Linked DNA regions of Diceros bicornis minor. The protein of the gene in region 4 interacts with the protein of the main gene of each other region in a pairwise test. Links are inferred from orthologs where the notes say so. Each region holds a gene or a part of one and is shown on either strand. Other genes may lie near its edges.

Region 1 (7,386 bases), on a different chromosome or scaffold from region 4:
ATATTTAAGACGAGAATTTCTGCTATTGTGTTGAGAAACGCAGTGTCCCTGCTTTCTCCCATGTATACATGTTATTAAACTTGGTATTATTTTCTCCTGCTAACCTGCCTTGTTGATTATTTGGCCAGCCAGAAGAACCTTAAGGGAAAGGGCAGAGGGAGATTCTCCCTCTTCCCCCGACAATATTAAGTCAGACTAGCATTTGTTTGTGAAGTACACCAAGGCTTTTGAACCCAGCCAGAACTGAGGATTGAATCAGGTAGTCTGAGTAACGAGTATGTTGAGCAAGAAGGACTGAAGGATAGAATCAAAATGGAACCTTATTTTGAATTTTGCTTCCTACTATGCCCTTAGAACTTATGCGGTGAGGATAGCCTTCCCAGCACCCCCGGATGAGGACAAGGGCAATGTGTGTGGGGTTCCTTCTGTTTGCCCCTCCAGATCCACCCGCCAACTTGACTTGTATGAGTCACATCAATATGCTCCATGTCCTCTGGATTCCAGCTGGATTTGGGCAATCAGAGCTCCAGCAGGAAATGGGAGGGAGAGATGAGAACAAGGTCCAGGAATTCAATCTCCCATCTCCCTCTCTGTGAGGTCACCTCCGCTGGCTGTGTCCCTTGATGGAAGGGTGATCTTCTTAAGGTGGTCTGCTCTTCACAACTCTCTTTCTTTCCAGGTTCTAGTAACCTCTTCCTCCTGCTTCCCTGTGAGTTAAGGGAGGGAGGGTGTCAGCTCCAACGCTGTTAACCTAGGGTCCTGCGCTACCCCTCGAGGTTCTCTCCTACACGCTGTCCACACCCTTCTCCTTTGACACTTTGGAAAGAAACTCTCCCCATATTATCGGAATTGGAGCGTATCCTCTTAGGGAAGAGGCAATTCCACAGCCACTTTAGTTGCAAACAGAATCTCAATGAGGGAATGATGGTGTCCAGTCCAAGACATTAATCAACACTGCAATCTTCACTCTAGGAAAAGAATTGCTGTCCTCCTCCCCCAAGTAGGACATGTAGGTGGGCCACTGCCCCTGCTGGGGGTGGGGTGTATGGCTGGCTCTGCTCTCTTCCTCGCCTCACCTGCTCCCTGCTATTTCCATTCCTAGGCTGAAATGGGGGCCAAAGGGGACGGGACAGTTTTCACTTGAATTGGTTCTATTATAACCTGGTTTTGCACCCTCTGGCCTGGCATGGTTAGAACCAACTCTCTCTCCCAGCCCCTCAGAAAATCCCTGCACCCCCACCCCCAGCTGCACACCCATGAACCAGGAAGGTCTCTCTTTGGGCTGGCTGTTCCCCACAGCCCTGGTCCTCTAGGGGCCCTTTCATACTTGGATGCTCACTGCTGGAGAATCTTCATCCTTCCAGGTTATCTTCTTGCGCAGAATTTAAGATTCTAGATGACCTTCCTGCCAGCAAAGTTCATATCTAGTTGTCAGTCTATCTGGCTCACCTTTGTTGTGCCACCAAAACAGCTCAACAGCCCGATTCTCCTGCGGGCCACTGTGTCTGCAAACACCTGGGAACACAAGGCTTTGCGATTGGTTCCTAAGTCTCCTCTCAGCCAGACTGAAGCAAGGGGGCAGATATTCTCCACTTTCTCTATTGGGGAGGAGGATTGGAACTCACGACTCAGCCTGTCTCCAAACAAATCGTTATGAGGTCATCTCAGTCACCATTTTTCTCCTGTCTTTAATATTCTCAAAATATGGGAGAAAGTTTAAGGGCAGAAAGGATTAGTTCTCCAATATCCACTCTGAAGATCCCTCCAGATGTCTCTCACACACTTTATGTCATTTTTACCTTATCTTGTATCAGTCAAAATCTCAGTTTTAACATACTGCAACAGACTGTTACGTATGCTTTTAATGGCTAGTAAAAACAATCAAAACAAAACAGTTCAAACTGGCTTCCAAAATAAAGAAAATCTGGTGGCTCACACAACTGAAAAAGTCCAGGGGTCAGGTGCCCAACTTCTCTGTTATTCTCTCAGTGCTGCCCTTCTCCAGGTTTACAAGATGGCTGCCTGAAGCAACCTGGGTATGTGCTTCCTTGTTCATATCCGGGGAACAAAGAGGACATCTTTTACCTCAGCCACTGAACGAGAGTCTTAAGATTTACTCTGACTGGATAAAATTCGACAACTTAGGTCAAGTTGTTATCCCAAGCCTATTCCTAATGCTACGGGAGCACCATGACCTGATTTCCTTAAACCTGGGGTAGGAGCCATCCCTGCACCAATCGCTATGGAAGAGAGTTGGGTTATCCTGACTGGGTTAAACCTCTGGGGACTCATTCCTAGAATTGGTGGTAATGGTAGTGGAGGTGATGGGAGTTGGACTTAACCTTATTCAAATCTCCTACTTGTATAACTAAGAGGAAGGGTGTGAATGGTTGTTCAGGAAGCAACTACAACCACTCAGTCCAAGGTCATTTTCCTCAAGCATCCCATTTTGTCCCCACACAAAATATGATTTTGTGGGTATCTAAATATTTTATATTCCTAATACAAACATACTTGTGACTATAGAGGAGTTCACTTTGCACTGGGGCAGACTTCTCCATTAGGCACAGTGCCTAGGGCCCACGATATTTTTAGGGCCCCATGAAATATTTTAATTTGTTCTAAACCTGAAAAATAAATGAACTTTTAGGTCAAAGAAATGTTTTAATATATAATATTTATATATTCATCCTTATAGCAATACAGTTGTAAAATATAATTTTTATCGTTATTGTTATTTTTTATGGAGGAATGGGCCCACCAAGGCAAAAGTGCTTAAGATGCTGAAAGTCATGAGGCAGCCCAGCTTTGTATTCCTTCTTTACTGAGATATCCCACCACAAAATTTAAGTGTTGCCAGTAGAAACCCAAAGTCTGAGGCAAAGAGATGGTCCTTTGAATTCCAAGGTTACTACCCACTTAAAGAACAGGTGTGGGTTGTATCAACACTGTACAGAGACATTGTGCTTGAAAACAGCAGTCCAGGGAGGTCAGGCTAGCTTCCACAAAAGAAGCAGAAGGAGGGAAGGCAATTCTAAGGGCAAAACAAAAATCTAAAATATTTGAAGCCTTTTCTTCTAGTTGGAGGCTAACATAGGCACAGTGAGCTAAAATATTTTTATGCATATTACATCGCTTGATCCTCATAATAACCCCCACACAGTACTGACCCATTTAATCCACTCAGGGAAGGCAAATAGCCTTTCCACATTGTTAGTACCTTGTGGAGGGGTAGGTCAACCCACGGCTCCTGACTACAAAGCTTTTGCTTTTTGCTAGTGGCCAGAGGCACTAAAATTGGATGTAAATTTTTTGTAAATTGTTTATCTGACCAAGCAAAGTGGGCAGTGACTTAGGGCACACCCAAAGGGTCTTTAAGAGCAGACCTAGATCCTTGGGCGTACCCTTCTTCCCAGATGTGCTGCCAGGTTGTCGGTGACACAGCTGGTCTGTTCCCCACCAGCCTTTCTCGCCCTAACCTCTAGTGCTTTCAAGTCAGAGGCTGGCTTTCTGGGGCAGCTGAGGAAGTCTGTACTTGCCACCCAGAAGGGATGCTCACTCCGTGCAAAGGCCGAATGGCTCCCAGACCCAGACAGCAGAGGAACTTCCATGCTTTCCAGCGACACAGCTGCTGCCCACACTCGCTTCTCCAGCTTTTTCGTTGCAGTGCTAGCCTGAGTGACCTGGGGCCCTTTCCTCGGTCTTGTTGGAGCAATAAGAATGTACAAAAGGAAGGTGGGACAGGGTGGCTCCCCAACAACCCCTGCTTTCTCCACCTCGAGAGAGGTGGAGAGTGGCCATATACTGACAGCATCAGCATCACCTAGGAGCTTGTTAGAAAGGCAAATTCTCGGGCCCACCGCACCCAATGAACCAGAATCCCTGAAGACGGGGCCCAGCAATGTGTGTTTTAACCAGCTCCCAGGTGAGTCAGGCACGCTGAAGTTTGAGGGGCTGTAGCATCTCGAGGAGGGACGAGGCCATATAAAGCAGGAGGGTGCCCCAATTCCTCTATCTCTGAGTGGTGTTGGGGCGGCGCATTCGCTTTAGTAACCATGTGAAGGTCTCGGTGAGGGGTTAGTATTTAGTTTAGTTTGGGGCGCGTAACTTTCTCAAGGACGCCACCGCTCCTATGTAAGGTGCTGAAGCCCCCTCCCACGTAGCTTGGCTGCCCTACCTCCGGCAGCCTCAACTTCCCAGGGAAGGAAAATCTGACGCAGGCGCAGTGATTACCCGGCCTGGCTCAGCCCGACGAAGAGCATGCGCGCTAGCTGATTGCCCGCCGTCCCTCCTCCCCTGGCTCCGCCCCTCAGGCCCCGGCCCCTTCTCGGCCTCCACCGCCTCTCCCCTCCAGGCGCATGCGCAAGGGCGTTTTTCCCGTGGCCCTCCGCGGCGCGGGCGATTTGTAGGTAATGGCGGGCGCTTGGTCGTCGAGCTGTTTCAAAGGATGCTCCTCTACTAGCTGTGCGTGCGGCGACAAGGGCAAGTGGAGCGGCTCCTCGCTGTTAAGCAAGCGGCTCTCGGAGGACTCGAGCCGCCACCAGTTGCTGCAGAAGTGGGCGAGCATGTGGAGCTCCGTGAGCGGGGACGCGTCGGTGGCCTGCGCGGAGAGGACGCGGCGGGAGGAGACGGTGGAGCCGGCCGAGGAGGAGGAGGACAGGCCGCTGGTGTTTTTGTGCTCCGGCTGCCGGCGGCCGCTGGGCGACTCGCTGAGCTGGGTGACGAGCCAGGAGGACACCAACTGCATCCTGCTGCGCTGTCAGTGCGGGCCGGGGGACTTGGGGCCGCCTTCTTCCAGGGGCTCCGTGGGCGGCTCCAGAAGAGGCGGGGTCGGGGGAGGGGGGTGGCGGTGGTTCCTTGAGGCTGCCACGTCGGGGTCTTTAAAAGCAGGAACATCTGAGAGGGTGAGCTGTCCTAGGAAAAGGGGAGAATGGTCATCCCTGCACCTTGGGCTCACTGTCACGAGTGACAGTTCCTTTTCTGGGGTCCCCGTCCTAGAGGAGCAGCGGATGAATCAGCATCGTTGTGAGCATTACTCAGAAAAAAATGACCAACCAGGTTGTAAGCGTTTGGGGTGTAGCCACTCTGTATTACTCTTCATAGAAATTAGCGGGCTGTTAATTGGTAAATACGTAGTATTGTTAATCATTTATTTAGGAAATTAAGCTTTTCAGCTACCTGGTTCCTGCAGGGAGATGTCGGCGTTGATTTCTCAAGTCTTATGAGTTCTATCAGCGGAGGCTTTTACAGTCTGAAGTGTTATAATTATAGAGTTGACAGAATACAATGCTATCAAAAAAATTTTAAAAAGAAGGAAACTTGCAGTAAAAGTACCAACAACCCCATCAAAATTAGAAAGAAAGGAGGAAGATAATAAAAGAGTTAAGGCCAGAGTTCTAGATTTTTTTTTTAAATTTTGTTTATTGCAGTAATATTGGTTTATAGCATTGTATAAATTTCAGGTGTACATCATTATACTTGTATTTGTGCATAGATTACATCATGTTCACCACCCAAATACTAATTACAACCCATTACCACACACATGTACCAAATTATCCCTTTCGCCCTCCTCCCTGCCCCCTTCCCCTCTGGTAACCACCAAGCCAATCTCTGTCTCTGTGTGTTTATTGTTGTTATTTACTACTTAGTGAAGAGTTCTAGCTTTTAATCCTGGGCCTACCAGTTACCTGTATTTTTTCCACTGTTCCCTCGTATTGTTGCTTTCATAGTATTTATTTAGGGGAGTGGTTCACATGTATTTTTTCTGAATTGGTGTAAAAATGGCTATTCTTTTTGGACTGGTGGTTTTCAACATGAAGTTTATGGTCTGTCTGAATTCTATGAATATTTTGATAACAGAAATTTACCACCCATTTATTGACGGTTGTGGAATATTTTCCTTCCTGGGATATAATATTGGGAAGAAAGGAGCAGTGTCCACCAGTTACTTGGAACTTTTTGGGACCTGCTGTTTTCTCCAAAATGCATCCGTTCATTAACAATAATTGCTGAGTCCCTTTCAGTTGTTAAACGTAGGCCTAAGAACGTACATTACCCATAGTAATTCATTGGGATTAACCCTTTGTGCCTATTAAAGTCAAACAATGCAGAAAGGTGTAGAAGTAAAAAGGATTTATTCCCCTGACCTGACACTCTCATAGCCCTAGAGTTCAACATGCCTTATTCTCATTTATACTTCCAGATACACTCCATGCCTGTATGAGCATATATAAAAGAGTAAATTTTTTAAAACACACTTGAGATTATATTATTTATACTGTTAAGCATCCTTACTTTTTTTATTCCACACATATAATCTGAATATTTTCCCATATTTCCCATATCAGTGTATGTAGATAGTATACTTCACGTTTTTAGCAGCTGCTTTGTGTACCTTTAACGAGAGGCAGGCAACATAGCGTGGTGGTGGAGGCCCTTGACTGCTTGGGTTTGAATCCTGCCCTGCCACTTAGCTGTGTCTCTTTGGGCAAGCTACTTAGCCTCTCTGTGCCTCAGTTTCCTCCTCTGTAAAATGGGGGTAGCACAGGGGGCAGTTAGGTGGATTAAAAGAGTTAATGTGTGTCATGTGCTCGGAATACATAAGCAAGGGCCGCTTAAGCAGTTTGTTTAGTGGCAATGCCGTTCATCCTCCCCATCTGCCCCTGTTGATAGAGGTCTAGGTTTCCAGCATTGGCGCGGCTAGCACAGCATGTGTTTAGGTTGAGATTTTTGATACAGTAGAAGCCCTTGGTTTTAGTAGGTGAGTTTATCTTGTTTATAGCTTTTAAAAAAATACTATGTTTGGTGTTAAATCTTTCAATTTACTTGTACTTTCTGCTTTTACAGCTTCTTTTCTATCTTTTGCCACATGGGCTCTTTGTTTTGTTTTTATATATAAAAACACTATTCTGTTATTTAGTTTTTCTATACCAGTATTTAAATTTTAAAAACAATCAGCTTTAGACAATGTGATTTAACCACCCCCCCATAAAAGATAAAGAAATGAACTCTTGGATTAATTTTCATGCCCTCCTGACCCAATCGGAGTTTAATTATTTTTACTTTGTCAAGGTTTATAACATTTACATTGTTCTGTAGCCATAGCGTCGTCATTGAGCCTTAATATAATGTCTATGTGAATTTATTTCTCAGCTCCGGGACTCTTATTAATATAAGAAGGCTTATTAATATCTTTTTCATTTCCAAGTTGTTTATTTGATTAATCATCCGTGGTCTCCCCATCCCCAAGGAAACTTCAAGTTTGAGTGTTTGAAAATGTCTTGTATGTGAATGTCAACTTGGCTTCATGTACAATTCTGGGGTCATGCTCTTTGCTTTTTCCTGCCACAGGGAGCAGCTAGTGGAAAGGCCTTGAGGCTAGTG
Region 2 (7,885 bases), on a different chromosome or scaffold from region 4:
GTCTTACCTACACCTGAAGCCTTTTCAGACAAAACCCAGCATGAACTGTTATTATCATGCTCTGAACTCCTGCAGTCCTCTTTAGACATGCAATCTCTTATTGCCACGGGTTGTTAACTCGGTTGAAGCATGAGCATCAGATTCTTCCCAACTGGAGAGTAAGCTCCTCAAGGGCAGGGAGCAAGGGAGTTATATGCTCCTCCACAATACCTAGATAGTACCTTGCACATGACAGGCTCTTTGAGTACTATGTTGAGTAATAAAAGGCAATAAAGAGTTGAATAATGATAAAATATAATGAATTTTTCATTTTCTACATGAGTTTGATATAAATTAACATTCTATAGTATAAATAATCATTAAAGTAAACAGTTGCTGATTCTTTGATAGTGTCAAAGAACAAAATATTCATAAATGACTTTTTAATGATTGCAATAATACATTTCATCCAGCACATTTTAAACCTCCCCATTATTTCTACATTCCAATGACTCAGGAAAGTTAACCCTGAGAGTGGTGCTCTCAATCTAAGTTCTAATGTAATATATAAAACTGCACATGCTTCAATGTTGAAAATGTATTTTAAACCAATATGAATCTAACTGAATCAAAATAACAAATCCTTAACTCTGCTTTGTCTTCAAAATCAACAGGACTGTTAAGAAAAGCTACTTTCACACTGGAAAAACACCGACAGTTGGCATGTTTTGATCAAAATAAGGAGCTCCTTAATTAATATCAAATGAAGACAAATCACTCTGACAATAGGTTGACCAGTTTACTTCTCTTTCTTCTCCATGAAATTATTGAAGGGGTGGTAGCAACACGGAATGTCAATGTTTTGAAAACATTGTGCTTGGCAGGCGCTTAGAGACATCCCAATTTAAAATAATAAGAACACTGTCCTAGTACCTGAGTCACAACCCAGTCATTGGTTCTATAAAAGCACAGGTCGCTGCTTTTAAGAACAAATTTGCTAAAGCATAGCTGGTGGACTCTGTCCCAAGTCTCCTCGAAGCTTCAAGTTATGTCTGGAATGTGTACCTGTTACAAAGCAAATAGAGAAACCAAAACAAATTGTGTTGCAGCCTAGATTAATAATATTTCAGGTCTTTTCTTAATAGCTAGTTTTTAACCAGTAGTAATCGATATAAACTCACCTAGACGTCTGCTTCTCTCTCCTCCCCAAGGCTTTTAATAAAACCAGCTTTACAGTAAAATGTGTACATTATTTTTAATAGCCTTTCTTAGGGATACGGATGGAGGATATATTACATTTCAGTGGGAAGGTATTCAACTGTAAAGATACTAGAAATGAAAGCTGTTGAAACCAAGTAGGTACCTTCTGTCCTGTGGGTCCTATGGAGGGCCTGAAAAGGTTAAAAGGAGTGCAGAATAAGTACATAAAAACATTAAAGGGCAAGAGATCAGTGACTTCTGAGAAGCATGTTTTTACTGCCTTAAAAAGACAAGGGATTTTCTGACTTCCCTCATTTCATATTCCAGGTCCCACGAGGTGTGGAGGGGGAAGCAGAATTGCTTCGAATTCTGAGAAAAGAGAGGAGAGAATGGAGAGAGAAAGAAGGAGGGAGACAGAGAGCAGTTCAGGATACACTGAAGGAAACCCCGAGAAATTTCACAACTCTTTGCCATAAATAGCCTTTCTTCTCACTCTGGATGCCTCCTCCTTTACATCAGCAAGGCTCAGCCTCCAGGCGCAGAGAAGCACCATTCACAAATCCCTCCGTCACCCCTTCGCGCACCCCTACCCCTTGATAGCAGCGCGTGTACGAGTCCCTGGGACACAAGCCAAAAGACCAGAGGGCCCAAGGGGCCACCTGCGGTTTCACCTCAGGACTGATTTTCTTTTCAGGTGAACCAGCGCATTGATTAGTCAGGAGCGCGAACACACACGAACGAACACACACACACACACACACACACCCCTCCCTGGAGCCCTCGACGCGCCACCACAAAGCAATTTGTTCACACTAAGTCGCTGCTGTTCGCTGGGGAGGGTCTCGTCTCCAACCCAGGAAGCCAGCGCCCGAGGACAAGCGGGCGGAGACAAGAGGCGGTCCCGGCTGGGGCACTGCGGCTCCCCCGGGAGCCCCGGCTCGCCGCCCCCTCCTTCCCCTCCCCTCCGCTCCCCTCCCCTCCCGCTCCCCGCCGGCCCCCGCCCCGGCGCCTGCAGCCCGGGTGCCAGCTCGAGCCGGCCGCCCCTACCTGCGGGACGCGAGCGGCCAGAGAGGGGAGCGGCCCGGAGCCTGCGCCAACTCTTGCGTCCTCGGCCGGCCGCGCTCCGCATCCCGCTGCAGCCGCGGCCGGGGGGCGCAGGGCGTTCAGCGGCGCGGAGGAAAAGGCCACGCAGCGCGCCGGCAGTCGGGGGCCGGCGGCGAGCGCGCCCGGCCGCCTCCCTCCCGCCCCGCCCGCCGGGCCAGGTCCCCGCGCCGCGCACGCCGGGCCCGCAGCGGCGCCCTGGGCCTGGGCTGGGCTGCTCCGGGGCGGCCCGGGCACGGCGCGGTCACCTGCCGGGCGGGCATCCCCGCGTCCGCCGGGGCCCGGCCACGGCGCGGCGGCGACGCGAAGCGCGACCCTCAGGGCGCGGGGGCACCGGGGGCGTTACTACCTTGAGGGTTCCGCGCCGCTTGTTAAGGCTCCTCCCGGGCACTCAGGGATTTATGTCTTCGGGGCACGGGGGTGTCTCCTCTGCTCCCCCTCCTCTGCCCTCCCTCCCCTTCTCGGCTGTTGGGCTCCTTCTCTCCAGTCCCAGTGGCACAGAGTCGAGCCGCGTTATTTAATAATCCTCCTGCTCCGCCTGCCTGCGCCAGCAGAGCCGCTCTGCCTGAGCCACCGCTTCCCAGTCAGTCATGTTGTTGAGAGAGAGAGGGAGGCGGATTGGCAGTCGGTCGGCGACTATTTGTGGTGAGAGAGAGAAGAGCAGAGCAAGAGGAGGGCAGGGGAGGGACGTGGGGAGGCGCTTCCAAGTGTGTGACTGCGCGGAGTGTGACTGTGCGGGGACCCCTGAGCCACCTCCCCGGCAGGCCCCGCGCCCCGACTGCGAGGAGGGCGGCGGCGGCCAAGGCCTTTATAGGGATCGGGGTGGGGGGGTTGGGCTGGGGTGGGGGTGGCTTGGAGGGCGGCGCCCGGCCAACTGCGTCCGCGGGTTTACCACGCACGCATACTCACACATTAACGCGCGCACACCCGCTGCTGGAGCGCTGCTGAGTTTTCATTTTAGGGGAAACCGTATCCGGCCGTGCTGACTTGGCTCCCCCTTCAGTCCTGCCTTGTGCGTAAGTCGAGTCCAAGTGCATTGGCAGGTCAAGACAAGGGAAGGGGGGAGTCTGGAGCGCTGCAGAGGGACCGCGGGGATGCTGAAAATGCACTGCATCTTTTCTCGCCAAACCACAGATGTAATCTTTCTCTTCCACCTCTCAGGGAGGAAATTGTGAGGTTCTTTCTCCTCTTTTCTTTCTCACCCTACCTATTCATATCCTTACACGTCTCCTCTCTCCAAGGCAGCAAGGGAAGAAACCTGGCTTCTTTCGTCTAAGCAGATCACACCTCCCAGGAACCATTTAGGGCTTCAATTCTTCTGTAGGATAATGGGAGCATTGGGACTGTGACCTGGAGTGGAACTTGTGTTCCCACACATAAGCTCCTTGACAACACGGATTTACAAACAGAACCAGCTACCATTTTGACATCATTTGACTGATGGCCCCCTGGAGAAAATTTGCTAGTTTAGAGTCTCCAAGACTTCTGATGCATGGTGGTGTTACTTACCTAATTTATTTTCCCTTGATCCCCTCTCCCATGGCCCTGCCTCATTTCCTTTCAGGTTTGCACGGGTCCTGAACTCTGTCCCATCCATCCCCCTTTTTTTATCGCCACTCCTATACATTTACATCTTTAGCAGGCAACACAGCAGATGGAATGCATTTAACTGTGTGTGTGGTGTGTGTGTGTGTGTGTCTGCTTGTGTGTGTTCTAAATAATCTGGCCATGATCTTACTTCTGAAATGTTAATATATTGGGTGTAAAAGCAAGGTGTACTTTTTGAATGAGTATTAGTGGTTGATGTGTATTTTAGCAAGAGGACAACCCTGCTTTGGGGGACAACTTTTTTTTCATAAATGTGACAAAAGGAAGTTAACATTTAGGAGGCTAGGGAGGTGGTGGCAAGGTTGACAACTCAGTTGTTATATCTTCTCTCCTGATTACTAGCTCATGACCATTGCTATGTCTTCAGATTTTTATCATATGGAGGCCCATTATATATTCTCCATATATTTCCCCTTTTTGACATTGATTTTCTTTTTCCCTAATTCTTTCCTGTCTCATACAAAAAGTTTAGAGTCCATTAAAGTCCACTAACAGCGGCTTAAGCATATAATCAAGAAAGGGCAGTGAAGTTGGGACCAGTGGATATATATCATGTTAGCTCCTTTGATTAAGCATTGGAAAATGGATGTATAACAAAGTGTATTGGGATTTAATGTGTGCCTGCCCTGTGAAAAAGCTATTATCGTTTCTTCAGTTTTACAGATCAAGAAAGTTAGGTTTGGGGACAGTAGGTAGTTAACCTGAGGTCACATACAGACTAAGTGATGCAGCTGGAACTCAACCTCAGTCTGCCTTACTCTTACTGTCCATACTGCCTCCCATTCACAGCTCCTGGCTTAGTCAAAAGTCTCAATGGTTTCTTTAGAGCTTTTGATAATTATGAAATAAGCTGATCTACAATCCTTTGGCATTTTCCTTCTACCTCCCTCCTTCTTTCCTTCCTTTTATAATTCAAAAGAGGTTTACAAAATGTTCACTTTTTAGGGTTAGGCAAGGATTTAAAAAGTCCTAACTACTTGGACTTGTAAATGAAAAAAGTTAGGAAGCTTTCCTCCAAAGTCCTCACTAAAGGAATCTTGCATTGCTGCAAAAGGAAGTTTTGTAGAAGAGATATTCCTGATCTGAACATTTGCACTTAGCGAATAAATATGTGGTTTATTTAAGAGCTGTAAATAGACATTTTTAAAAAATTGTCCCCCTTTAAGGACAATGCTCAATCATATTGGGCAAGTTTTTGGTGCTTTTATTGTCCCAGTTTTCTATTTATTTAATTGTTACCAGTAATGATAATTTATTATTGTGATGATATGTGTACATGTGTACATTACATGTGCCTGGTGATGGATGGTAATTAGTCTTTGGGTGGTGAACGTGATGTAGTCTACACAGAAATCAAAATATAGTGATGTACACCTGAAATTTATATAGTGTTATAAACCAATGTAACCTCAATAAAAAATAATTTAAAAGTTAAATAATAATGATAATTTAATAATGACTCTATATTGCATACTTCAAAATTATATATTAGACCGGATATTTCAAGGGCATTTTTGGTAACCACAACTGATTGTAATTTTCACACTTTCAATTGCATTCATAATTAGTGAGACCATGACAATCTGTCAATTGCCTTTATTCATTAAGGTATTAAATAAAGCCAACATTTCTTGCTTAATTTTCTAACAATTTTGCTTGCCAAATAAAGTCTAAAATTCCTAGACACTAGACCAGAAAGATATGAAAATATATAACCTAAAACACACTTATGAAAATATGATTCATTTTAACTATTTTGTATTTCTTGTTGAAAAAAATCTGTACTAGAAATCCCATTTATAAATTATAATGAACATTTTAGAAGTTAAGAGAATGCATTATTCTCTTTTAAGATTGTTTAATGTTTCAAGTAGAATTTCCCACTTTGCTATACTTTCAATGATATAATTTTTGTTGTGATAGGAAAACAGAAAGTTAATGATTCTTTCCAATTTGTTCATTTTCATCTCTTATGCTTGCTGCTGTTTGGTTCCCAAGTGCCTTTAACTGGCAAGTTCAATGAAGATTTGGCATTGCACCATTTGACGAAAGCAGAAAAATTAGGTTGCCAATTACATATGTGCCCCTTATGTGCACTGAATTCCCACCGAAGTGATGAGCCAAATTAGAAATTCTTCAGTAGTGGTACCTAAGAAGTAAAATTAGTGCCTAGGGAAGGTAAAGGAGGTAATTTTTCTTTCCAACCCTATTACTGTAATGAAATTCATAAGATGTTTTAGAAAGTGAATTAACTTTAAAATGTGCAAACAATGCTTGTAGATGAAGTGTCAGAAAATAAATTTAAAAGTTACATTTCTTTTTTCCTGTCCTAGCTATTTTATCATTCTTTGATTTACTTCATACCCTATCATGATTATGCAATCATTTATGAAGAAAGTTCGATGAAGGCCACTTCTCCGCTTTGCTTTAGCCTAGTAGTATAAAAGAAATGCAAAAAAGAAAAAAGATTAAAATTTGGTATTAACATTCTGGATTTTTTCTGTATTACTAAAAGCCAAATTATTCTTTTGTGACAACTGTTGTGACATGCAAGTGGCATTATGGTACCTTAGAACAACAGGAGCCTTCAATGGAGATCAAGGCTGAAATCTGCACTCGGTTCGAGAACAAGGGCTGATGAGAAAGTGTGGAGTAGGAGACAGGAGGATTGACTCAGCTGCAGTTCAGGGTCCAGAGAGCACAGGAAAAACTCAGTCTTAATATGGCATTAACTGGGGCAACCTGCCAGGTAGACAAGGCACAGTAGACAAGAATTTAGATAGAATTATTTTTCAGAAATCCGGTCGTGGTGACTATACTTGGTAAATTGCCTTTTTGCAGCAGAAATTCTGCCTCGTGGCAGAACAGCAGGATCTATTCATGCTCTTGCTCTGTGGAGGAAACTAAAAGGCCTAGCAGGTCAACCGACCAGGATTTCAGAGAGGAATCCTTGGCAGAAGCTAAGCCCAGGTGACTGGGTCAAAATACTCACTGCGTGAGCTGTCTTTGATCTGAGAACTACACAGACACCAAGGATGCGTCCCATGGCGCAGACGTGGTAGCAAGACTATTAAGGTGAATGTGTGCCACTGTCCTTGTCACTGGGCTTCCAGGTCCCAAGTTTACAAAGTGATCTAATTCTAAGCCCATTTAATGGGCTGAGAGGATGGAAAGCAGAGGCTATGGAGAGGTATCGCTTACACAGCGACTGAGGATAATCCTTGAATTTCCAGGGGAGGCTATCCAACTGAGAAAAGTTGAGGTGGCGGAAGGAGGTGAGAACTGACAACAACATTGATGTTCTCTGAATTTACACCTATTTTTTAAGGGGAGTAAACTGTATTAAAAATAATATTTATCAACATAAAACCAAAGGAGTCTTTATAAGCAGATTTACCAGTAGAAACCTTTCCTTTTGTATAGTTTCCTTATCTTTGTTTCTGTTTCCAAATGTGATTAATGAGGTCTTTCGGAAAATTAATGACCTCAAGATTTCTTACCTTCTCATGAGGTAATTTTCATGTTTGAATATTTGTCTCTTCTGATGCAATATTAAAAAAATATTTAACTCAGTTAATTCGTTCATTTGTTGATGTCTGTGTGTTGCATCTATCAAAGTGATTTTTTGTTGGGCTTTTGAGTTGTTCTATTATGATTGTCCCCAGGCATCTATGTGTTTGTAGACATTTCATTAAAATAAATAGAACTTGACACATTTTTTAGAGAAATCATCAGTTAAATCATCTCTAAAAATAGTATACTGATAAAATCTGAAACTATAACAATAAATCTGTGTATAAATCATATAAATAGATCTAATTATAACAATAGAAGAACTATAACAAAACTGTAATAATACTCTTGTACTATGTAGGTATATAGTAAAACTAGACGATGCTAATAAAATAATCTAAACCATATTAAACCAATACTTAAGCAGGTTGGAAACTGGTCTTACCATCTGTCAGTTTCTATACTGGCAGTTTCACAAATGAGA
Region 3 (7,381 bases), on a different chromosome or scaffold from region 4:
GTCATCCATCCAGAAGGTAATCATTTTAACTGATATACCCAGCTCATATACGCCCATGAATCATGATTAAAGGCACTGTCTCAAAAGCCTCAGTAACTATGAACAAATTGCTCATTGCCAGCCCTCAGGGTTGCCCACCTGGTTTCCACCTCCCACACCACATTTGAGGTCTTTTTAGAAGAATAATTTTCAGACCTACACACTCCAAACACTATATAGCCAAAATAGCAGACAAAATGAACATCTGTATTAAAGATAAACACCTTAATGCTCACTGCTGTTGAAAGTCCCCATCAGAGAGTGATGTTCAGGGCCTACGTGTTCAAAGTTTCCTTTTCCAGTGCCGATAGTTTTGTCATATGTGGTTAACGATAAACTGATACTGATTGCCTTGGCAACATATCCATTTGCTGAAAAAGGAAATAAAACCCATGGTTCATTTAAAACTTTCTATCTGCCAGGTTTCTTACAGTAATTTAGGAAATACTTTTTAAAAGCAATAGATATTAATAGCCTACAAATAGTAACAGGAAAATATTTCATGAGAGAAGATACTCATGAAAATGTGTTAGAGTATTTTTTAATATGAATCAGAGAGTTTTGGTGCCATTAATGTTCTTTAATGTTCCCTATTAAAATATTTTTTCTGAGGGCCAGCCCCATGGCCTAGTGGTTAAGTTTGGTGAGCTCCACTGTGGCGGCCGGGGTTTGGTTGTCAGGTGCAGACCCACACCACTTATTGGTGGCCATGCTGTGGTGGCGACTCTCATACAAAATAAAGGAAGACTGGCACAGATGTTAGCTCAGGGCAAATGTTTCTCAGCAAAAAAAAGAGAAAAAAATATTACTTTTGCTCTAAAATTTATACTATATTTAGTCTTACAGTAACTTCCTGACTCTTTGCATACTGGAATTTCCCATATTGGAATTTATATATGGTTAAAGAAAATAAAGTTTACTCTGAGGAAGCCCTAACTGTAGATTTACAAACAATAAAAGATCAGTGTTTTAAGGCTGTAGTGCGTAAAGCAGATAAAAATGCAAGTTTAAAACTCAAGAATTTTTTAATCATTCTTGTAGGTTTCCACCAGCAGGAACTGTAGCCTCATCATTCACTTATCTGTTATTTACATTCTACCTCAACTTTGGTTCCTCTGCTTTTGCTTTTCTTTTCTTTTATCAGATTCTGTTGGTAAATGAAAAGAAATGGAAGAGTTTTCAAAACTGAACCTAAATACTAAAAAATCACAGATTGTAGAACAGCCAAACACCACAAAAGGAGTCATAGCATTTCATTTCCATGCTTCAATTTGTTGGCTAGAAGCTGCCTTCAGCAGTTATCTCAGGTCTGGCTCACAATTTAGGAAGTCGGCTAGGCAGCCTTCCCGGGAAACGCAAAAAACATGACAGAGCCCGCACTCTGTTGGAACAGAAGCACATCTAGACTACGTTTGGGGGCACAATGCCAGAGTTTGCATATTTCCTTACCCTGTAATTAACTCTTGCTTTTGAAATAGGATTCTCACTCCAAGGGGATCCTTTTAATGAGTTTATACATTTATCTTATTTTCGAAGAGATTGTTCTACTGAATCATTGAATTCTGAAAGTATTCAAAAATTATCTCAGTTTAGTTTGTTGTTTATAACAGGGAATATTACATAGCCAATTAGTAGAATACCTAGAATATATAGTGATATCTACGGGACTTTTTAAAGATGCTAACAAGTTACCAAAAGAGTTCGAAAGCCTAAAGAATTATTAGACTAACAGTTGTTGAGCACTCATTATACACCATGTAATATACTAAGTGCTTTCATGCATGATTCATTCATTCATTCAACATGGACCTGTTGTCTACTATGCGCACTGTTCTAGGTCCCAGAGAACAGCAGTGAACAAAAAAAATCCTTGCTTTCATGGAGTTTACGTTCCAGTAGGGAAACAATCAACAATTAAATAAGTAAAACAGAAAGCATGTGTAATGAAAATAAGTGCTATGGAGACAAATTAAGCAGAGAATGGAGATAGTGAGTGACTGTGTGTGTGTGTGTGTGTGTGTGTGTGTGTGTGTGTGAAAGAATCTCATTCAAATGGTAAATTGATAGATAAGCAGAGATCAGAAAGAGTTGAGGAAATCTGGAAGTGGATCTCAGGGGGATGCTTGTTAAAGAGCACTGAACAATTATTTATTGAGTATTTCTTATGAACCACTTATCATTTAATCCTCACAGCAGCACTTCATCATCATTGTAAAATGCTTCCATTTTACAGGTAAGAGAATTGAGGCTTAAAAATGCAAAGAAACTTGCTTAAGGCCACACTATGTACAAAGGGCAAGCTACGATTTGAACCCAGATCTGCCTCACTCACAAGCTGTGCTTTTAACCATCGTCCTCCTGTCAATTCACCAACTGCCCAATAACGAAATTTCTACATGCTCAATATTGGTACCTACCTAAGAAGATAGTCAATTACAACATCACACTTAGAAAAAAATCCATTTGAGAAGAAAAAAGTGAATGAAGTTTGGCTCAATCAAATAAATAAATGAGAAAAATTCCTCTCCACTCTGCTGGTGAGGGTTCTGATCTTGTAAGTTACAGCTCTCCAGGCACAAAAAAGGAGATGCCCCACCTGACCCTGTGGGGGCAGGTACTGAAATTGTCTTTCAAAGCAACACTCTCAGGCCTGCCAAAAGAGGCCACCAGGAGGGGGAGAGGAAGAAGAAGGGGAGAGGAATAGTGTTTGTTGTTGGAAATCGCTATCATCACTTCCCCGTCAGTTCACCCCTCTCTTTTCAACTGAGTCTCAGCATGAGGTTTGGAGGTTTACATCTGGCTACATAATTGAGCTCTTCACAAGGTATAATCTATCTCAAGACTGGTCCTGCTGGGATGGGAGGAACTGCTTTCAAGACCCACCATCCCCATGACTCCACTTAAGCACTAAATTCCACAAGGCCTTAGCCATGTGGTGGCTGAGAAAGGGTGGCAGAGCTGTCACCATTCCGTTGTCAAGGCTTTGGGCCCCTTGATTTTCTCTTTGCTCCCTTGGAGAGTCGTATACCTGTGCATTAAGTGTGTGTGTAAAGACAGAAGGGTGTGCATAGGAAAATGGGGAAGGGGGAAACTTTCTCGGCCACTCCAGACCTGAATAAGTGTGGTTTTGCAGCAATTGAGTGATTTGAGGAAAAGTGAACATACTAACCCAAGCAATCAAAGGGAAGATTATCTTACTTAATACCAGGAGTAGATGTTTTTCTTTTTGCGTGTCAAGTCCAAAGAGGAAAATCAGGACGAGTGGCTTAGGTTGTAAACCTTAAGATCAAGGACACTTTCCCTTGAGCTTAGCTCTCAAGTTCTCAGTAGTCAACTACTCGTGAAACATAATTAATAGCACGATAAATATAAGTTGTGGAAGATGCAATTGAAAGTCAGAGGCCCCTTCCATGGGCCCCCTACAAAGAGCCTATCATAAAGAGGACTTAACGTTAGCAGGGCTAATAAAAACTATCAGCTATTAAAAGTGTGCTCTTCCCTAGCACCTCTTATTGGAGTTTGTCTGTGTGGGTGTGTTCGTAAGAGAGGAGTGGGTGAGCAAGAGTGTACTGGGTACGATTTGTGTATCTGCATGAGAAAACAGAAGCTCTGGATGAGGAAGAACATATGTTTCTGGGACTGCATCTGTGCAAAAAGAACACGGCCCCTGAAGTTGTACTAATTTAAAAAATAAACTATATTAAAAAGTCTTTTATTTCACACATGTCATCTCGGCACATTTCTCTCCTATCGTCCTTTCCGCCTGACCCAATAGTCCTTTCTCACCCTCAGGTCTAGGAAAACCATGTAATGTTTCCAACAGTCTGACAGAGCCTGCCTAACCAGCTTCACTCGGGGACCCCAGAGGCAAACCTCAGCAGCCCAAGAACAGAAGTGACTCTCCAGGGCGCACCTGCCTGGAGGCGGCCCCTCCGCAATCAGGCATAAATCACATCCTTTCCGAGGGCTGGGAGGAGGCCGAGCAAGGCAAATAGAGCCAGGCACGGCGCTAGCAGGCGGCATCCGTGGCGACTCGGAGAGTGGCGCGACCTCGGGCAGACCGCGCCCTCTCCCACCTCCCAGCCGGCAGGTCCAACTAGCCAGGTGTCGGCGCGCGCGGCCCGCCCCGCCCCGCCCCGCCCCGCCCCGCTCCGGGCCGAGTGCGCGTGCCCGGAGGGAGCCGCGCCCCCTCCCCCGGGGGAGGCTGGGCGCTCGGCTCTCGAGGCCGCGCTCCCCCCGGCTCGGGCCTCCCACCGGCGCGGGGGGCGGGGCAGGGGGCGGGGCAGGGGCGGCGGGGCGGGGCTCGCGCCAGTGCCCCCTGCTCCTCTGCAGCTTCGTCTGCAGGTCTCGCGGCAGGCTAGCTGCTCGGTCGCCTCCTCCGGCCCCATGGCAGCCCCGGGCTCCCCAACCGAATGCGGCTACATCCGGACAGTCCTGGGCCAGCAGATCCTGGGGCAGCTGGACAGCTCCAGCTTGGCCCTGCCCTCCGAGGCCAAGCTGAAGCTGGCGGGGAGCAGCGGCCGCAGCGGCCAGGCGGCCAAGAGCCTGCGGATCCAGGAGCAGGTGCAGCAGACCCTGGCCCGGAAGGGCCGCGGCTTCGTGGGCAACGGTGAGTGGAGCCCCGCCGGCCCCTGGACGGCCGCGACCCTACCCCCTACCCCTTTCCCTATCCCTCCCACACCTTTAGCACCCTGTTGCTTCCACTCGCTGCTTCCTGAGGGTGCGGGACCTGGGGTTCTGCCCACCTGTTGCTCGCCGTCCCTTTGTATGACCCGTCGCGCCCCAAGACTCAGACCGGCTTACTTGGGCAAAGCACTCTTTTCTAAAATAATCTCTTACTCAGTTTTGTCATATATGTATCTACGTATATTAAATGCACGTATATGTCTATGTGAAAGAATTCAGTCCAAGATTTTTCACCCCTTCCTTAACCAGCTCCCCCTGCGCGCCCCCCCCCGGGGCCTTAATCTGGAGGCTCCCGAAGTCTATAAACACTTTGAAATTCTATGCAGAAATTTGGTATGATCATTTTTCTGGGAGAAAGTGCCCCTAGCTTTTATTAGATTTTTTTTTAAAGAGTCTATGACCCCCGGAAATATTTTGAAAAGAAAACCTGAAAGTTCTGGCGCTCCTACAACCTGTAAATTGGGGTTGCGGTGCCTCGCCCAGGTACTTTGGGGCGCTCCACCCAGGGTGCGGAGCGAGTGCTTGATCTAGGAAGTGAAAAAATTGGGTAGAAGGCTTTGGGCCAGGGAACAACCACCCCACGCGCGGAGGAGGAGGAGGAGGAAGAGGACTTTGTCCCCGCCAGCGGCAGCCCGGTCCGCCTCCCTGCGCCCTGGCGACACCCTCGTGGGCACAGCCCTAGTCTCTCCAAAAAATTAAACTTGGAGTTGAAAGGGGTTAAAAAAAAAATAAAACACTATATTAGTAATTGATAGTCGGGGGAGGTGGAAGAAGATGGCAAACCAGCTGTGAAAATTAGAGAACATGATATATCATTTTCTCTCCTGTTAATAGTCAGAGGATCAGAGCCACACAATAACTCTTTTATTAGTTGTTTAATTTATGTTTTTCATTATAAAAGTATTATAGGCCTATTATAGAAAAGACAAAAGGAAAGAAATTGAACCATTAATTCAGTTGGGATATCAGTTTGTTTGCCCGCAATGTTGACCTGTTTCTCTGGGAAGTCACTTGGGCAATGGCAAATGCAGAACCCACTAGGAAAAAGAAAAATGCTTGCAGACCAGACCAGAGATTTAAAACAGCAGACCCTGGGAGGCTGTATTGTTTTCAATTTGTGTAAAAAAAATCCTAAAGAATCAGGCAGTCAGTGTTTACATAGTTGAAAGGCAGAAGATGTTAATGATTATAGTTAATGTAACTGAGTGCCTACTATGTGCTAAGAATTGGACTGTGTGGTTTACATTCACTATATTATTTGTGTTTCAAAAAAAAAATTTATGAGGTAGGTGTTTTAATCCCCATTATACAGATGAGGAAACTAAGTGGTTAAGTAACACTCAAGTTCCCACAGATAGTAAATGGCAGAACTGGCATTTAAACTACTAAGCCGGAATTTTTAAACCACTGATCAGTTATATTGTTAAACTTTCGGGTTATGAATACAAATTGGGATTTTTATTAGACCCTAAGCCTCTCTATGACCCCTCCCATTTTCCTCTAAATAAAATTGAGGTAGTCCTGAGAGAGTGGGGCGGTCTGAATAGCACAGAACTGCCACAGTACGTGGAAAAAAAGAACCTAAATTTACATGTGGAAGTCAGACTAAAGACTCCAGGATAACTGAGGTCAATTTTTGACCAGTAGAGTCATTGCACTCCATTAGTGTGCGCAGGTCCAGTGCTAAACTGGAACCAGAGTAGCTTCTGCTGCTTGGAGGACATAAGGGGGATACATATTAGATCTTCTTTCTTATGCTATGAGAATGGCTAGTCAGAAAGAGCAATGAGACATCAACTATTCAATAAATGGGGGGAATGAACAGAAGGAAGGGGAGTATTGCTGAGCGTCTCCTATGTGCCTAACCCTGTTCAAGAATATGTTTGCGTTTCATTATATCCTTAAAACGATTATATAAGGTAGATAGGAGGATCCATTTCACCTAAGAAGAATGTGTCAGTCTCTCAACATTAATTGGATGCTTAGTCCCAAACCCACACATGATCTCTTTTCTATCACGTGGTGAATTCATGTTGCTTGGTGAATTCAAGAACTATCAAATGAGTCTGTTCTTCACGTGGAGGTGCTGAATTAAACATAGACTCTGCTTGCTTTAAAACAAGGAGTTTAAAGTCTGAAGAAGGAAATCTCCCCCTAAAAAATGAGATATCAAGTTAAAAATGGTAACCAACCCAAAAGAACAGGTAACACATTATGGAGTTTAGAAGTATGAGTTAGACTACCAGCTGAAGGGAATTTTGAAAAGCTTCTTGGAGGAACTGAGATTTTAAACCATAAAAGTTCAATAGGATTGGACATAGGGAGATGGTTGGAGGAAGAGCATGCTAGGAGGGAACAGCAGGAATATTTCATCGTCGGCAGAATTGATACAGTAGAACAAAGGACATTGTCCTGGTGCTTCTGCTCTAATGCTCAGGGCAACTGCTTGAGTGGCTCTTCCAACTAAGGAACAAAGCGTTTGAAATATTTTTGATTACAGCAGGAGCTTCCCAGCAAGCTGAAATACCTCAGCAGCCTACACAGAAGTGCAAGTCAGTCAGAGAGATAAGGCAGCACACAACACCTACTTACTTTAAAGCCTCAGCTTTTTGAAACTCCAAAAAGTAATCGACTTCAAAGGAATTTGACATCAACA
Region 4 (7,160 bases):
TGGTTATGTTTCTTTATAGCACTTGTCATGACCTAACAGAAATAAATTTGTCTACTTGCTTATAGTCTGTCTTCCCCATTAGAATATAAACTCCATGGGGGTGGGGTTAGAGGGTGGAGGAGGGGTATGCTTTATTATAGTTACATGGTTGAATCCCCAAGGCCTACAACAGAGCAAACACTAAACTCATAGCTGATGAATGACGTTCCTCTCTCTATAAAACCACTTCTCACCTCAAGGTCCAAGTGTGTAATTTTTTAAATGAAAAAAACTATTATTATTATTACTATTTTTTATTACAAAAGGAAAAGATGTTGCTTTGGGGATTGTAGGTGCTATAGACTGGGTTTAAGATTTGGGCTAGAGAAAAGTCATAATTGCCTAGGACCCCAATCCTGGTTCCTTTGTAACTTGGTATCACCTAAGTTCAGCCTTTCATACCAGGGAAAATCTTGTCTCTATATGGTAATTTTTCTCAGAATTTGGGGCATTTTCCAGAAAGTGCTGTCAATCTTGCATTTGGAGTTCTAGCCACCAAACCATTGATTCATTCTTTCACTTTCATTGAAGCATATTAAACAAATGTTTGCTAAGTGCCTGTTGCTGGGGGATATTAGGACAATCAACACTGTCCCTGCTCTCAGCGGGCTTTGGTTCCTTGGGGAAGCTCAGACACCTCCATGACCAAAAGGCTGTGTTCAGTAAGTCTCCTGTGAACTATGCGGGGGCTCTACTTGAGCTCACAGGAAGGAGCACTCACGTTAGGTATCAGGGAAAGCTTCCTGGAGGAGGTAGTATATGAGTGAGACTTCAAAAGGCAGAGGGGCAGGCTGGCCAGGGAGCCTAGGAGCAGCTGTAGTGCACAGGGCAGTGGGAGTCAATAAAAGGCCCAGAGAGGAAGGGAGCTGTCCATTTGGGGGACAAGTGGAGGGTCTGGTCAGACACAGATAGGTGAAGTGGGTTGGAGTTGCTTTGGAGGGCCTGGAATGCCTGACTTTGTAGTTTGTACTTTATCAAAAGGAAACAGGATGCCAAAACAAGTTCTGGAGCCAGTGATGCTCTGTACACAGTGAGATTTTAGCAAGATTATTCTGATGACTGTGTGGATTACTATGCTGAAAGTAGAAGAAATTCGAGGGAGAGAAGTTTGGGAAGGGAGGGACAGACAAGTAGGAGGCTTTGGACTGGGAAGATTTAGGGGGAAAATACTGGTAAATGGATTTATTTGACAGAGTTATGAAGGGCAAGTCTTTCAGGTTTGGTGGCCATGTGAGTGAAATGAAAGCTGGGAAGGGGATAATTAAGGGTGATTTGACAAGACCTTCGTGCCTTAGGGGCCAGGGGAGTGATTACACCATTGGCAGAAACATGAAAATCATTTTGGAAATTTCAACTGGGGCAAAAGGAGAATCTGTTTGGGGTTTAGACATGAAGAGCTGGAGGTGGTGGTGGGACATCTGGTGGACATATACAGCAGGCCATTAGTAACCAGCCTGATCTATGCCCCTAAAGTTTAGCAGAAAATACTGGCCAAAAAATACGGAGAGATTGGGCTGAATCAAACCTTTGATTTTCAGGTGTCTGCTCACCTGATTCAGTGGAGAGTTACACATGCCCCATCTCCTCAGAGTTTTCATGACAGGCTTGGGTGCACGGCGTCACCTTTTGTGAGTGTGGTGGGCTGGAGTCCAGCATCCTCATTAGCTAGAGTTTGCATTGGTGTCAGCTGGTCAACCCACACCTCCCCCAGTGGTGGAACCTGGCCTCTGTTTCCTGAGTCTCAGAGTTTGTGGCAGGGAGGATGTTGGGATGCTTGTGCGTGCTCTCAGGGACTGTGACATTGACCCCTTGCGCTCAATCCAAGAAAGATCCTGTACTGGGACCTAGGCCTCAGCAAACCCCTTCTTAATGGTTTATGAAGGGAGAGGCTGGGGCAACCCTCACCCACCTTTTCCACCTTCACAAAGCTGATTTTGTAACTCTTGTTCCCCTTAGAGGCTGTCTTTAGTCTTCACTTCCACTTTATTTTCCCTGGATGGGCATCCTGGAAGCAGGGAATGGGGCAAAGGTGGCTGTTACTTGGGAGAAAGCTCAACCAACACAGAGGAAGGAGATCAATTATAGGGCTTTGATACCTCTGAGGGCCCTGCCAAGCAAAGCCCATTCATTAGGATGGGGCCGACATACCAGTCCCGACAAACACCAGTTCTGGGTCCAGGCTGGGTGGGAGGGGTGGTGGCCTGGAAGATGACGTCAACATTTTCTGCAGGGCCTGGCCTGCCATTAGGTGACTCAGTGTATTTCCCAGGACTTCAGCCAGGAGGCAGGGACCAGGGTTGCAGCCTTTATTTATTTTTCCCTCTTGAGGCGGGACTGTTCTGTCTTGGCACTAGGTTCACAAGAAAGCCTTCCTGCCTCATCATCTCTCTGCCTGTGATCTCATCGGCCAGGGCACAGCTTCGGCCAGGGAAGCAGAGCCCCAGAGCCTAAAAGAGCTTCCATGATGTCCCAGGTCATTGGGCTTGGAATATGACCTGCTTAGGTTTAAACCCCACGTCCTCTGGGCCTCAGTTTTCCAATATATAAAATGGAGGTAATAATTTCAGCCTCATAAGCTGCTTGTGAGCTTGAGGGAGGTAATGTATGTAAAGCACTTAGCACAGTGCTCCAGCCCAATAAATGGTAGTTATTATTAATAGTCCCCTTTCTTGAGTGGCAGTATAGCAGTGGTCAATAGTGTGGTTTCTGGAGTTAGACAATCCAGATTAGGAGGGTTTGAATCTTGAGTCCTCTTTTTTCTTGTTGAGTGACCTTAGGCAACTTCATCTTGCTGAGTTTCAGCTTCCTCATTAGTCAAATGGGAATAACAACAGTACCTATCTCACAGGGTCGTTGTGAGGATTAAATTCTGCAAACCAAGCGTTTAGCACAATTGCCAGTACACACAGATGAAACAAAAGTGAACTATTCTTATTATTATTATCATGATCTTTTCAACCCTATATTATTCAGAGTCCAGCTCAAGGTGCCACCCTTCCCACAAACCCCATTAATCACGTCTCTGATCTTCATTGATTTGGACACCTCTTACAACCCATTTACATTGTTCCTATTTACGTCCATTTCCTCAAAAATCTAACTGGACCTCCCAGGCTCACCTTGCTCTCACCTTGAGGCCTTACAAGTCATTACTGTGTCCCCAAAACCCACAAATCCAATCCCCAAAAACACTGACCTCAGAGAGAATTACATTGTGCATTACACAGCAGAAGTTCCTAAAATTGTTTTTAAAACAGCTCTATTCCTTCATGTTTCCACTTCCTAAGCAGTTGCCCACCCTCATTTCTCCCCTTTCTGAGCTACTCCCCCCTCAGCCCTCTTCCCTCTCAAGTTCCCTGGACTATAAAATGAATTCCTAGTCCTATAAAATGGATTCCATTCTTTAGGAGTCCCAGGGAGATGAAAACACACACACACACACACACACTTAAATAAATAAATATAAGCTTAGCTACATAAAATATATAAATGGATATTTATATTCTCTTGGTGCCCTCAACGAATCCTTTCATTCATTCAACAAATATTTGAGTTCTCATTTTGTGTCCAGAACCAAGCAAGCTATCTGTTGGACAAGAAAGGCAAAGGAGGTTCTAGCTCTCATGGAACTTACATTCTGCTGGAGGAAGACAAAAACAAGTATAAAATTTCCAGCTAGTCTAAGTGCCGTAAAACGGTCTTTCTGAGAGAGAGGGATGAAGGGCACTAGAACACCCCTGGTATTTCGTAGGGTGGTTGAGGTTAGACTCGAGGTGAAATCTGAGCCGACATTCATTTTATAAACGGGAACACTGAAACAGACACCTGAAAGACCTTGGTGGCTGAAAAACCGGGAGGCAGAGTCTCATCCAGCGTGGTGCCATTGTCCGGAACAGCAGAGAGTTTTTGGGAACCTCGAAAACCGAACGCCCCCACTTCTCGAGGTCCGGGGGCGCCTGCGCAGAGGCGGCCGCCAGCCTGACGTCAGCGCGCCGGGCCGACCCGGCCCCCTGTGACGCCATCCTCGCCACAGCCCCGCCCTGGCCGCCCGCGCGCTCGCGCGCATGCTCGGAACCCCGCCCCCGTGCGTCACAGAATGGCCTCGGACACCCAGGCAGCCCTTGACGTGTCGGGGAGGAGCTGGGCGCGGAGGTGCGCGGAGTGGAGCTCGGGGCTGCCGAAGGGAGCGGAGCTGAGCGGCTGGGCGGGCCTGGCCAGGCCAGCGGAGCGGAGACGTCGGTCGAACGGCGGCGAACATGCGCTTTTGACACATTGGAGGTGAGCCTGCAGTGCGGGGCCGCTCCCGAGGGACCGGGCCGGGCCGGTGGCGCCGAGGCCTGTCCCCGGGAGCCTGCCGGGCCCGGGGGCTGTGTCTGAGGCCCCGCCGGGCTGGGCCGGGCCGGGGCAAGGTTCTGGGCGGCCAGTCCGGGGGCAACTGTTCCAACCGCTCTAACTGCCCCCTCCACGCCCCGGTCCCAGGGGTGGCCCACCACCTGGAAGGGGGCGAGCCGGTCCGCCTCCGGAGGATGTGCCGCGTCCGGGGGTGGAGTGAGGGACGACCGGGACGGAGGCCGGGACGTGGCACCGTGGGCCGGGGCTCTGGTGGCGCAAGGAGTGGCTCAGTTGGAGGTGGCAGCGGCGCGCCCAGCCCTCCGCCTCCTCCCCCCAGCCCTTCAGCCGGGAGGGTGGTTTGGAGCCAGGTTGGATTTTGAGCTCTCGTCGCTTCTCTGCTGTGGCGGGCGAGAGCGGAAGCAGCCCACGTTGGGCTCCGACGGCATTCCCGTGACTCCCCGCCCCGAACTGCTAGTCGTCCGTTTTGGAGTTCAGAAAAGTGTCACCAGACGGGTTCGGGTTGCTTGTGCTCTCCTCTTTTTTTGCTGGTAAGCAACCAAGTAACCCTTTAAGTTTTGTCAAGAAAGCGAGAGTTCTTTACTGATTATTACCTTCCGTTTCTGTAGCGCCTTCACACATTTCAGAACATTCTTGCTATCTCTTTTGAACCTCATCATCCTGTGGTTGTGCCTGATTCTGTTATCGCCATTTGACGGATGGGGAAGTTGAGCCCGGCTGGGGTGGGGAGTATTAAGTGATTTATACTGTGGATTCTGCCAACTGGTGAGTGGATTCGCTTGGATCAGAATTTACGTCTCTGGGCTCAAAGTTATGGTTTCTCTTTGTGGGATTTTTATACTCGTCTCAGCTAGAAAGCAAAACAGAAAATCTGACTTGCCAAAAATATACCAGAAGCCTAGTAGAAGATTTATTCAAATATTTTTGATCGGACTTACTTAGGATAAGAATTGCTACTCAGTTAAAAGAAAAATCCTACTCTGAAACTTGTTCACGGGTTGCTGGCTAATTATTTTGTCTGATATATTGTGTTGCTCTTAATCCACTTATGAAATAGGGTCATGGCTTAGCTAAATCATGAAGTTGGTGGGATAAAATGCAGCATTAAGTCTTGGGTTGAAGAGAAGTAAAGGAGAACTGAGTCCAGATCTCTCTTGTGGATTTTTATCAAAATTATTATTTAAAATTAGAGGTCATAAAGAACAAAGAAAACCTTTGGATAGCCCTGGTTAGAGGTTGACGTAGCCCAGATAGAAATTGCTAAATCTTAAGAAACTGTTCTTTTTTAGTTCTGTTTTGACTTTTTAAATTAAATAAGTTGAAGTTGGATAAGGAACACTTAAGATAAGTAGAAACCTCAGTAAAAACGTACATCTTGCTTTCATGACATCTGTAAAACTTATTTTTCTTCTCATTTTAAACCATGTGGAGATATATTTGGTTACTAAAGCTTAAAATTACTTCTGACATAAGTTACTGAGCACTTCATAAGGTAGAAAAAGAAGTTTGACAGTCAGGACAAAAAGGGAGACCATATTTATGATGGGCTTTGAAAAGTTAAAAATTCTGTAAATATCACCTTTGGGAGAAGTAGAAGAATTTTGGTAAAAAGGTATGTATTACCTACAGTGAGTTCCAAGAGAACTCTTTTAATCTCATTAGTCCATTCTACAACTATTAACAAGAAGCAATATCATATAAAATGGATTTTCTTACCATTGCACAAAGAGTAGTTTCTTTGTAAATACAGCATTTTGGACAGGCTGTTTTATACCCAAATAAGTGGATTTGTCAGTTGCTAGATAACTGGCAGTCCTATACAGTATGATAATAGCCCATGTAAAAGTCAGCACACTTTTGAGATGCACACTCCATCCATATGAGACGTGGTATGGAGGGAAGATTTGGGTAGCAGGGGAGAGTACCTAATTATCTGCCTTCATTTCAGCTTCAGAAGATTGTAGATGTATCATTAAAGCATTTTTTTTAGCAGTATGGTTTTCTGTATTGGCTAACTTTCTATAGCCTTAATATCTCCAGTTACATAGTTTCAGATAACACAGTGAACACATCCTCCCACTGTAACTTGAAGCAAACTGAACAGACTGTCTTTACAGCCCATGAAAAGGTCTTTTGGATATCTGCAGTGGTAGAAAATTTGTAAAAAATCTGATTTTTGGAAAGGATAAGTCTGATGAATAAAATTAGAATGATAAAGCTTGATAATACCAATTAGGAAGCAGTAAAAATGAGGTGTGACCACAAAGAAAGAACTTTTTGTTTAGTTTTTAATCGGGCTCTTCAAGACTACACCAAAAGAAATTTTAGAAATGTTTTCAGTAATGGTGCTATCACTGGAATATGCATATAGCTTCCAGAAGTGATTAATTTTAAGGATTCATTTATATATTATAAATTCTGAAGCACATTTATTTTGTGGTAATACTTCAAAGGTCCATGACTGAACTACCAGTTTTTTATCATTTAATGAAATTTATGCTGTCTTTACTATATGCCAGGCTCTGTACTAAGTACTTTACAAATATTAACTCACTTAATCTTCGTAACAACCCTATTTTAATTATTAGCTCCATTTTACTGATGAGGAAATGGGGCACTGAGTGGTTGAGTAACTTGCCCAAGGTCACCCAACTAGTGAGTAGAGGAGTCTGATTCAAACCTAGGCAGTTTGGCTCCAGGGTCTGGGCTCTCAACCACTGTGCCATGCTGCTCCTACCACTTGTTCCCTGGTTAAATATTTTTAATTGCTT

The links.
Region 1: the proteins of NDEL1 (region 4) and MIS18A interact in binary tests that used the Homo sapiens proteins (3 or more experiments, as listed by UniProt). The link is inferred for Diceros bicornis minor from reciprocal best matches to the Homo sapiens genes NDEL1 and MIS18A.
Region 2: the proteins of NDEL1 (region 4) and CCSER1 interact in binary tests that used the Homo sapiens proteins (3 or more experiments, as listed by UniProt). The link is inferred for Diceros bicornis minor from reciprocal best matches to the Homo sapiens genes NDEL1 and CCSER1.
Region 3: the proteins of NDEL1 (region 4) and PKP2 interact in binary tests that used the Homo sapiens proteins (3 or more experiments, as listed by UniProt). The link is inferred for Diceros bicornis minor from reciprocal best matches to the Homo sapiens genes NDEL1 and PKP2.

The regions. Positions count from the first base shown.
Region 1 is NC_080766.1:32,924,850-32,932,235, reverse strand, and holds the start of MIS18A (protein Mis18-alpha), read left to right. Parts: upstream 1-4,383; 5' UTR 4,384-4,412; coding exon 4,413-4,758; intron 4,759-7,386. UniProt on the Homo sapiens protein: Required for recruitment of CENPA to centromeres and normal chromosome segregation during mitosis.
Region 2 is NC_080747.1:73,989,641-73,997,525, reverse strand, and holds the start of CCSER1 (serine-rich coiled-coil domain-containing protein 1), read right to left. Parts: upstream 3,004-7,885; 5' UTR 2,630-3,003; intron 1-2,629.
Region 3 is NC_080756.1:31,062,192-31,069,572, forward strand, and holds the start of PKP2 (plakophilin-2), read left to right. Parts: upstream 1-4,378; 5' UTR 4,379-4,425; coding exon 4,426-4,648; intron 4,649-7,381. UniProt on the Homo sapiens protein: A component of desmosome cell-cell junctions which are required for positive regulation of cellular adhesion.
Region 4 is NC_080757.1:10,012,935-10,020,094, reverse strand, and holds the start of NDEL1 (nuclear distribution protein nudE-like 1), read left to right. Parts: upstream 1-4,154; 5' UTR 4,155-4,317; intron 4,318-7,160. UniProt on the Homo sapiens protein: Required for organization of the cellular microtubule array and microtubule anchoring at the centrosome. May regulate microtubule organization at least in part by targeting the microtubule severing protein KATNA1 to the centrosome.